Linked DNA regions of Drosophila melanogaster. The gene in region 2 interacts genetically with the main gene of each other region. Each region holds a gene or a part of one and is shown on either strand. Other genes may lie near its edges. The genes, in order: Tsp68C and ytr.

Region 1 (4,463 bases), on a different chromosome or scaffold from region 2:
CGATCGCGACTAATGTTCCCCATGAATGGGGAGCCCCTTTTATAGGCCCGATTCCGTAGCTGGTTTATCAGAACACTCGGAATTGTTAGGCTCAAGCCCACTATTTATCCACGATCCGCAAAAAAAGCACCATCATCAGCTTATCGGCATCGCCGTTCTTAAATTAGCAAAGCGAATGTAACAAATCTGTGCCAAGTTTAAGCTGATGCTAATGCCTTCCTGATAGCGGCATTTCCGGGACCTATGTCATAATTTTACTAGAGTCCACGATGGGTGTAAGAATTTTCTGACTTGGGGTAGCCCCCTCTGCTGATATGTCGCCATTCAAAAGTTATATGGTCAACGAAGAGCTGCTGGATGTAAAGCGTCCTACGCAGAAACTTCTCCAATGGCATTGAACTTGGGTGGTGGAATATAATCACTTTAATGTTGGCCAAGGGTGAACTAATTTCAAATATTCAACGTACTACATTGTGACCGTTAAAAGTTATCGGTTCAAGCAGTGCAAATGCTGAATGCAAGCAGTTTACGGTTCATGCGTTCGAGCAGCAGCTTGTCTCGTAGCTCGCTAGAGGGCGCATTGGTGTCAAAATTAGTAAAGTGTATTGAACCTGCCTACAGAAATAACTTTTGGGTACCAAATTTAATTAATGCACGTATTTAAAACAATGAAAACGTTTAAAGTGGAAAAAATCTTCAGATTTACTTCAAAGTAAGCCATCGAAATTAGATTTATGGTTGAAAAACACTGAATACATTAGAAAATATATTTAATATATTCCACACTTAAATAAATAATATTACTAAATATACTTATAATTATACTACTGAGCAAATACATACTGCTGTGATATATATAGATAACACTTTTAAATTTCATACTTTCCTCTCTTGGCTTAGCTTTATATTAGCTTAAGCTATACGTGTCCATTTGTGAGCAGGATAAGGTTTTCAATTAGACCAAATAATTCCTCATTTGTGTTGGTCGGTTGGCTGGGCTTGTTCTTAAATTATGTTGTTTGTACAAGTCTCTCGGTTTTATATACAACTCCTTGAAATCCTCACTGCTGACATGTCTGCTAGCGGGTCCCAGATATATTCCGTCTCCACTGTGATTGGAATTTTCTCTCAGTTCAACATCAGGTTCGTATATATTCTCGATTAGGGTTTGTCGCGATTTTACTTTTTGAGTCCGCATTTCCTGAACAGGTTTCTTAAGCCTAGCCCGTTGCGAAGCAAGTCCGGTGCAGCTCATGATAATGGCGAGTAGGACACAAAATTCAATCATGGCCAATATTAGACTGGCGCCAAGAAAGATGCTGTACTGTTCGCGATACCAGTTGTCCAGATGGGGCAGACATGACTCCGTGTGGCGTTCCCTTTCGTAGGACAATCGTTCCAGAGACTGACACATCGATTCATTGGCCGGCTTGGGGTCCAGATATGCCATGGAATGTCCGGCATTCTTAAGAAAACAGCAACTTAGCGGCACCGGCCAATTCCTTTGTCCATAGCCCTGTAATCTCCACAATGATGTGTCGTAGTCCAAGGAACTTCTCATCCCACAACATCCGAACCGGACCTGTGCCAAATCCAAGGCATTGGTAAACTGCTCCTGCCCCGGAACTCCATAGTTGCTCTGCAACGATCGCACCATCTGAGTCTCATCTAAGCTGATTCCCAGGCAATGTGGCCACAATGTGATGGCCAGGCACAAAACCGATTCGGTCAGCAGGAGCACCACAACGCTCAGGAAGTATATGGTTAGAAAGCAATAGGTGTGAAGGCAACTGGCCCAGAAACCCACAACGGCAGCCAGAGTAGCCACAAATCCCGCAATCGCCACACCCAGTGCTATATAAAAAAGCAGCGGCTGCGGAAGTGAGCTCAGCCGATCGCTGGATGCAGCCAAAAGTCTAGAGAGCAGAATGCGTTTGTTATCGGAGAAGATATATAGACCTGATACTACCAGCAGCAAGCCACATATCTGAAAAATGCAATTAGTCAATAAATATAGCATATAGGAACTACTAAACTTGCTAAAGCAGGAAGCTATACAACTTTCACTTTAGTTAGTCACTCACCAAAAACAAAAAGTTACATAGATTGAGCACAAATTTGTAATTAAAACAGCAGGCCATGTTTACATCAATGCGGGTGTGGGTCTTTCAAACTTAATTAGAACCAAACGTTTTATGACGAAATGCAATTATTGCGACATGTACAAAGATCAGTGATGGCGATGATGTATATCTGGATGTACTGCATGCTCAACAGTGTAGATGTGTAGATACTCCAAATCCGAAACTTCAAATCAGCACCCGTGTATTTCAATTCGGATATATTCAATGCGACGCCATGGACAGTACAATTTAAACTAAACAGTGCGGAGATGCAACATTCTGTGGCAAGTTCAGAGAAGCGAAAGTAAGAGACCACAGAGAATTCGCTCGTAACTCTCTACAAACCCCATGATGGGTAACTCTCATTGAAACTTTTCAAGCGTCGCGCTTAGCTTAGCAAAACAAAACCGAAAACGCTGTCCATCCACCAAAAATTTTAAACTGGAGACTGAAAAGAGAAACCCATGCATGGGGCGCAATGCTCGTTGCTCTTATTTGATCACTGCCACCATCTCCGTGTGCAACCATTTGGAACCGTTTTCCAACAAAAGCCGACAAGCAACAAACAATTACACGAGTTGAACTTTAATTATTACTAGATACCGGAATTTATGTAAAGTTCTTTTTATGGATCACAATGTATTGTGGTTAAGATATGTTTGCTAAACCCGTTACTCATCGTTTTACTTCCCACTTTTTTTTTTTTAAGCTATAGCTTATTATTGAAAGGGTATATAAACTTCGACTGGCCAATGCTAGTTTCATTTCTAGTATGTAAGGGTATACCTTACGGTATATTGATTTTAAAAATATAACATATTACTTTAGCTGTAAATCCTAGTTGTAAATCAATCCTAGTAGGCTTGACCTAACACTTCACCACAGACTAGGCCTTGGCAAATTAAAATCTTGTTTAAAATAATTTGTGTATATTTAAAATCATTCGAACTGATAGAGCCATTTGGAGCGAGTGAATGCGAACCAAATTATGCTTAAGATTCCAAATCGGCGCAAGATGCCTGTGTCAGAGCAACAGCCTCGAGTCATCAAGATAGAGCGACCAACGACTGGAAGGATACTAGGTCCTTTGAACGTGGCCAGCATGCAGCAGCAGAACTTCTTGGCCAAGAACAACCCAAAAATATCCGAAGATCTGGGCAGTCGCTTGCAGACTCTGCAGAGACGTGTCCAAGAGTGGAAGTCTTCAGGCCAAGTCTGAGATAAAACGTAAACTTGGGGATGATGCAAAAATAAATATTGAACAAATCGAAGTAACTTAACTTAACCAAATAAACAAATAGTTAAAGCATAATATTATAAAATATTGCTTCAATGATATACAAATTTTGGTTGTTATTATAGTACAAATTATGTTCATTTGCGTCAACTTTTGTAAGCCGAGCTTTCTAATCACTTCTAAATCCAATCCAAAATATTCCACACCTGCATAACACTCATTTTTAATGATAATTAAATAAAATGTAAACTTGACTCCTATAGCCAAATTGACTAGTTTTCAGAGGTTACCAGTCGTTTGAACGTGGGGTGAGTGACCTACTTAAGTGGGCGAGTGCAATTAATAAGTAGTGCGTTGATTTTTATGGCTTCATTGTGGTTTTGGTCTTATGCGAACGCCAAATGGCCAGTCATTCGGTGTTTAGACGTCTGTGGAACGGTAACATGGAGCGTTGGTGCAATAAAGTGGCCGTGGTGAGCGGAGCGAGTGCCGGAATTGGTGCAGCATGCACCCGTGCCTTGATCGGAGCAGGAATGATAGTGGTGGGTCTGGCCAGGCGGCATGAGCGAGTTGAGAAGCTTCGCAGTGGTCTGAGTCTCGAACAGCAGTCTCGGCTTCACGCAATCAAGTGCGACATTACGCAGGAGGATCAGGTTTTGAAGGCCTTCGACTGGACCTGCCGGCAATTGGGTGGAGTGGACGTGTTGGTGAGCAATGCTGGGATCATTGGTACCGGAGAACTCAGCGAGCGGGATGATGGTCCTGCTATGCGATCCACCATAGAAACAAACATCATGGGCACCGTTTACTGTGTCCGCGAGTCCTTCCGTTCGATGAAAAGGCGAGGAACCGAGGGCCACGTGGTCATCGTGAACAGCGTGGCGGGCTACCAGGTACCCAACCTGGGACCCCAGCTTCCCTCGCTAAACATTTATCCGGCCACCAAGTTTGCCCTTCGCGCCATGAACGAGATCTACCGCCAGGAGTTCCAGAGGCACAAAACTGCCGTGAGGGTTTCGGTTAGTATATTTAGGAGTCCTTCGAGTATGACTTATTTCAATTGCTTCTTTGTGCTTTGAGTATCGGTGTCCTTTTTAAATTTC
Region 2 (6,647 bases):
GGCGACGCCGAGGAGAACGATGACGAGCAACGCGATAGCGACGAGGAAGAACAGGAGGACGACGACGAAGAGGAAGAGGACAGCGAGGAGCAGGTGGGCGATCTGGCCACTAAAGAGAAGGAGGCCGACAGCGAGCCGGAAAAGGAAGAGAAGCCGGAGCCCAAGCAGGCCGGCGATGCTGCGCCCGAGAAGACGGAACAGGTGCGCAAGCGCAAGCCTCGCAAAGGCGATTAGGTGCAGCGGGGTCCCTGCGGATCTTCAGCCTTAGCGATCATCAGAAGCGGCAACAAAAAGACTAACACACTGAATCGAGAGGAACACAACCTCTTACCCAAGCATCATTCGAGCGGACATAATCCGTCTGCTCTGCCTTCGCGCACAAAACCGATTGTTTTCCCTCCTTCTAATCCTAGCCAGAAAACGGCGCCCCATGTATTTCATAATTATGTAAAGCAAAATTGCAATCCATTAAGCGATAGCAAGCGTAACAATAACTAAATGTAACTTTAGTCGTATATTTTTACCTTTTGCCAAGCATTTTTGTATTTTGTGTTCAACTTGGTTTCCACACAATTCATTTCTCTTAAGCATTTCATTTGTAATTGTACTTCAATCGCAAATTGTATTAAATTTTCGTATTACAAAATAATAAAAAAAAACATACAATTTAAACTGGCTTTGTTTACTTTGCGCTTCTAAATAATTTGGATCCCAAAGAAATTTCACATATGCACGTATGTATATTTGAAATGGAAAATCCATTAGTTTCATTCACAGTTAACACCACATAAACAACATGAACATTAATGGTTTTACAAATTTATTATCAGTTTATTGTAGGAGAATATGAAATAAGACAAAATCCCTGCAATTTCGTGTGTGTAAAACTACAAATAATTGTTATAAGATGTGTGTGAGTGGTGCTGGTCCAAAATGGTTCAAATTTTCCAATACATGTGGCTGTTTTCCAAACGCAAAGAAATGGGTAACTGAAACTGTTGCTTAAAATAGTTAGCTCGTTGAGGCGTACAAAAATTCATGCCTACTATCTTATAAAAAGAGTACAAAAGAATGATTATACAAATACATATCTGTAATCTGTATCAAATGTGATTCATCTTCAGCGTTGCTTGCCTGATCTGTTGGCACTTGTGATTGAAATCGGAATTAACTGGATTAATTACAACATTTTGATTGTTCAACAAATAATAGTTCTTTCAACAAATTGCTATGGCTATTGTTGGATTCATTTCGGGGGTTGCGGGGATAAGGTACTTGTGGTGTGTGTGTATATATAATTTCTATATTTAAATATATATTTGATATATATTGTTTGGTTGTAAAACTTGTACTATTGCAGCGTATGGAGGAAGTTTGTTGGGAGGTCTTTTCGATTGCGGTTGGGATCGGGATGGGGATCTGGATGCGGATGAGGATGGGTATGGGTATGGGTAAGGATAAGGGTATGGGTATGTGAAGAGTGCGTTTCGGGCTGTGGTAAGTTTTCAAATACTTTAAGTAATTGTCTGTGTGTGAGTTTGGAAATTTTTCTGTTGTGAATTTGGGTTTCTCAGGCTGGCTTCAGTTAATTCGTTCGTATGCGTACAAAATGGCGAGATGTCAACAAAAACAATTGTTAATTACTTTGAAATATTCAAAAAGCAATCGTCGTGCGTCGTCGACTGCAGCTGAAAGCAGATTCGCCATCCGAGAACGTCTGGCTGGGATGGCTGGCTTTCAGCCCCAGACTTTTGTTGTAAAATTAACCTGGCGGCCAACTCTATAACAAAGGCGCACTTCAGGCTTAGACTACTAAATAACTAATTGAGGTATGTGTGTGGCGAGGCTGTCCTCGTGCTGAACTAGCTGGATGCGTGGAAATTTTGACGGGCCAAAAGCTGGCTGAATTTCGTAAACCGGTCTATTGCATAAAATTGCAGGTCTTCGTCCGCCGCCCATTGCCCATTGGGCACGGACAAGTAAAAAAGCGTAGCAAACTAGTTGGGCAACGGAAAAGGATGTGGCTGCTGCGATGGCGATGGCGATGGCCAATGGCAATTGGAATTGCAAGGACAACGCCAACGGCTGCTGCTAGGCACTGCTATGCCACGAAATCGAGCGGCCGGTTGAAGCCACCCTTGCGATTCATGTACTGGCGGTACTTTCGCTTGAGGATTACATGCACTTCTCCGACATCGTTGCCCTCGACCTTCCTGTTCTTGGTGGTGTCGAACGTGCAGAATCCCATTGTCTTCAGCATCTCGACCTCTTCCGGCGATTTACCCTCCAGGTCCGCCTCGTTGATCTTGGGCCGGTCGGCAGCTGTGGCCGCCGCATTGTTCCTCGTCGTCCTTCGCGACGTCGATGGTCCGGAGCTGCTGTTGCCGCCGCTGCTTCCGCCGCCGCCTCCTCCTCCTCCTCCTCCGGCGACCCTCGACCGCGATCTGCAAATTATGAATGTGTGTGCATAGTGAGTGGTGAGTGTTCTATAGATTTCGTTTGAGTGACAGGACCGACCAGTTGATTGCATTCGAATTGCAACGAGCCTGGGAAATAACTGGGGCGACCTTGGGCGTTGTGCACCCGATTGTGCAATATGAAGTTTTAATTACGCGAAATGCGACACTTCTCAACCGGTCGGTTGGCTTCATTAAAGACCATATTTACGTCTCGATTTTGGCAATCATCTGAAGACCCAAAATAACCGGCTTGTATATGCATATGCTAGAGAATTTCATTCTAAGATTTAAAATCAAGCTCAAGATCCCTCTAAAATCCATTCTGAATCCATTTATATACCTAACAGACAATATTCCTCTATTCCTCTAGCTTATATCTCAAAAACTTCCATTGGAAAATAGCTAATTGATGCTTGCAGCTCCCAGACTTTGTTTTAGTTTCGTGTTTTGTATTTCTTAAATGAAATGTAGAAGATAACAGATAATCCTTATATCAAGTAGAAAGTGGGGAAAGTTTCGCTTAGGACATGTCCTCGATGAGGGCCGCACGCAGCTTGGTCGTCACTGTGGCGGGCTGTGCCTGGTTAAGCTTGAAGACGCTCTCGATCACGGAGATCTCTGTGGCCGTGGTGTTCATGCCCACGAAGGAGAGCCAGTCGTTGACGACCATGCCGGCGGCGAGTACTTCGCTGCCCCGGTTCACTGTTCCGGCCACGAGGGGAACCTGCAGCAGGGACGACAGTTCGTCCTGGTCCTGAATGCTCGTCTTGGGATGCACCATGCCGCCCTGGTTGCTCAGCACGGCGTAAGAGCCCACCAGTGAGTTGTCGGCAATGGTCTGGCGGAAGACCTCTACTTTGAGCACGTCCGCGATGATCTCCTCGGTCTCCTTGTCCAGATCCGGGTGCACCAGGGCCACATAATCATTGCAGGCGATAACGTTGCCCAGCGCGGACAGGCGCTCCTCCACACGATAAATCTTCACGGCGTCTGGCAGGCTGTTACGCAGGTGTTGCAGCTCCTCGTCGGTGGTGGAGTTGGGCACCAGCAGGCCGTTGCGGTTGCCCACGGTGAGGCGGCCGATGATCCGGCAGCCGCCCACATTCGCATGCACCACCGGGATGGTGTCGCCCAGCTCCGCCTCGAAGGCGCTGTAGAAGGTCTCGGATCCACCGATGGCCACCAGGCAGTATGTGTTGGTTAGTTTAGTGAAGACGCCGATGTCGTCGTTGTTCTCGAATTGGACGCGTAGAGCCATTTTCTCTGTATTTACGTGGATCCTCTTTTCCTGCTGGTTACTCTCTTTTCGGATTTACTGGCCTGACTGAGCCTGCTGCCGGATGAGTTCTGGATTCTGTTTATATGTCCGGAAATCAATTTAAATGTCGTGATGAAATTCGCACAATTTCGCTTCACGTGGTAATTTTTTTTTGATGTTGGGACGCCAGAGCTGCATAGCCATCGATTGGCTGCCTATCGAAGTGTGGGTCTATCGATACTCGTGGGTAAATAAACAAGTTCTGAACGGCGATTTCGGGGGTTTGAGGGGTCAATTGTCCCCTGTGTTGGAATGTGTTCCTAAATCTACACAAACACTCCCTAAGCTTATCCTAAACTTATAAATATTGGTTGCTATTTAAACCCCATTTCACGGTTATCCAGCACGCCCCTGAACTGTGACCCACATCCCCGATTTTAGTGACTAGTTTTATACTTATCGTGGTTGGCATTTGGTACACTACACTTTCTTATTCACCTAGATCGCCGACTCCGCGCACGGTCGCGCTCCCGTTCCCGCTCCCGATCTCGGCTGCGACTGCGGTCGCGATCCCGTTCCCGGTCGCGGCGACCGGCGCCTCCAGATCCGGATCCTCCGGCTGGCGCTACTCCGATGGCCTCCCGCTCCCGGGAACGGCGCTCCCTGCGCTTCTTCCGCTCGGATCGCTCCTTCTCGCGTCTCCTGTGCGCCGGCGAGGCGGGACTTCGGCTGCGGCCCATGGCTCCGTTTCGGTCTCTGCTTGTGTGGCGGTTTGAGTGATTGATGATGGTTTGCCTGCAGTGGATTTGAGCGGATGTTAGACTCCATGTACTCCAATTGCACCGCACGCATCCCGCTTACCGTTGCACTAGGCTGTGTCTAGCATTATTTGGGCGACACCGGCGGTGGGTAAAAACGCGCTAACTTAAAACTAAAACCAAATAAACAACGCGCGTTATCTCGCCGCGACGCCGAAACGGAATGAGGAATGCAGAATGCGGATGATGATGCGAGGGATGCGATGCAAGGGCAAAACATGGCCACCTATCGGATATCGATTGATGGTCGATTTTATCTTCGATAAAAATGTATCCTATGTATATCGCATACCGAATGTTTAAATCGATCTGTTTCCTTTTGAATATGAACTATGTATATATATTAATTAATATTTTTTAATAGCATTACCTATATTATATTTCAAATTATGCCCGGACTATGATAAATTTAACAAATTCATAATTACAAATCTTTCGTCAATACCACTTCCATAAATAGTTTAAAATATCAAAATATTACGAACTTTGCCAATATAAACGTTATATTTTCTACATTTACACAGTTTCTTCTTTTTTTTTTTGAAGCTATTAAACCACATATTTGCTCACGATCGCAGCTGAAATGAACTACTATGTTGGATCTTCTAGTTCGATCTTCAAGACCGATTCATTTTCCAAGTCGCGGGACTGCCAACTCCCGCGAAATAGAAAGAAAATGCATCTTGAAGATTAAGATACACACAACAATCCGTAAGTGCGTCAGAATTTTCAGAACCCGCGGTTCGCTGGAACTCTCGAAATAAACAACTAAATGCCACTGTACATCTGAAGCTATCGCAAGTGGATAGCGCCGTAGATATAGAAAAACAGCGATCGCAACCGATCCGTCCAAAACACGAAATAATGTCGGGACTGCGAAACACCTCGGAGGCCGTTGCAGTGCTCGCCTCCCTGGGACTCGGAATGGTTCTGCTCATGTTCGTGGCGACCACGCCGCCGGCCGTTGAGGCCACCCAGTCGGGGATTTACATAGACAACGGCAAGGACCAGACGATCATGCACAGAGTGCTGAGCGAGGACGACAAGCTGGACGTCTCGTACGAGATCCTCGAGTTCCTGGGCATCGCCGAACGGCCGACGCACCTGAGCAGCCACCAGTTGTCGCTGAGGAAGTCGGCTCCCAAGTTCCTGCTGGACGTCTACCACCGCATCACGGCGGAGGAGGGTCTCAGCGATCAGGATGAGGACGACGACTACGAACGCGGCCATCGGTCCAGGAGGAGCGCCGACCTCGAGGAGGATGAGGGCGAGCAGCAGAAGAACTTCATCACCGACCTGGACAAGCGGGCCATCGACGAGAGCGACATCATCATGACCTTCCTGAACAAGCGCCACCACAATGTGGACGAACTGCGTCACGAGCACGGCCGTCGCCTGTGGTTCGACGTCTCCAACGTGCCCAACGACAACTACCTGGTGATGGCCGAGCTGCGCATCTATCAGAACGCCAACGAGGGCAAGTGGCTGACCGCCAACAGGGAGTTCACCATCACGGTATACGCCATTGGCACCGGCACGCTGGGCCAGCACACCATGGAGCCGCTGTCCTCGGTGAACACCACCGGGGACTACGTGGGCTGGTTGGAGCTCAACGTGACCGAGGGCCTGCACGAGTGGCTGGTCAAGTCGAAGGACAATCATGGCATCTACATTGGAGCACACGCTGTCAACCGACCCGACCGCGAGGTGAAGCTGGACGACATTGGACTGATCCACCGCAAGGTGGACGACGAGTTCCAGCCCTTCATGATCGGCTTCTTCCGCGGACCGGAGCTGATCAAGGCGACGGCCCACAGCAGCCACCACAGGAGCAAGCGAAGCGCCAGCCATCCACGCAAGCGCAAGAAGTCGGTGTCGCCCAACAACGTGCCGCTGCTGGAACCGATGGAGAGCACGCGCAGCTGCCAGATGCAGACCCTGTACATAGACTTCAAGGATCTGGGCTGGCATGACTGGATCATCGCACCAGAGGGCTATGGCGCCTTCTACTGCAGCGGCGAGTGCAATTTCCCGCTCAATGCGCACATGAACGCCACGAACCATGCGATCGTCCAGACCCTGGTCCACCTGCTGGAGCCGAAGAAGGTGCCC

Evidence for each region.
Region 1: of ytr (region 2) and Tsp68C, changing one suppresses a phenotype caused by changing the other (phenotypic suppression), as found in Drosophila melanogaster (one study listed by BioGRID).

The regions. Positions count from the first base shown.
Region 1 is NT_037436.4:13,841,539-13,846,001, reverse strand, and holds Tsp68C (tetraspanin 68C), read right to left. Parts: upstream 2,347-4,463; 5' UTR 2,142-2,346; coding exon 2,085-2,141; intron 1,988-2,084; coding exon 956-1,987; 3' UTR 686-955; downstream 1-685. Other genes in the region: CG8750 (uncharacterized protein), read left to right, coding at 3,112-3,342; CG8757 (uncharacterized protein), read left to right, coding at 3,804-4,379.
Region 2 is NT_033778.4:23,846,356-23,853,002, forward strand, and holds ytr (yantar), read right to left. Parts: upstream 5,126-6,647; 5' UTR 5,021-5,125; exon of another isoform or gene 4,934-5,020; 5' UTR 4,906-4,933; exon of another isoform or gene 4,513-4,905; 5' UTR 4,458-4,512; coding exon 4,216-4,457; exon of another isoform or gene 3,975-4,215; intron 3,947-3,974; exon of another isoform or gene 3,718-3,946; coding exon of another isoform or gene 2,980-3,717; exon of another isoform or gene 2,891-2,979; intron 2,445-2,890; coding exon 2,102-2,444; 3' UTR 806-2,101; downstream 1-805. Other genes in the region: CG5554 (uncharacterized protein), read left to right, coding at 1-234; eIF6 (eukaryotic translation initiation factor 6), read right to left, coding at 2,980-3,717; gbb (glass bottom boat), read left to right, coding at 5,400-6,647.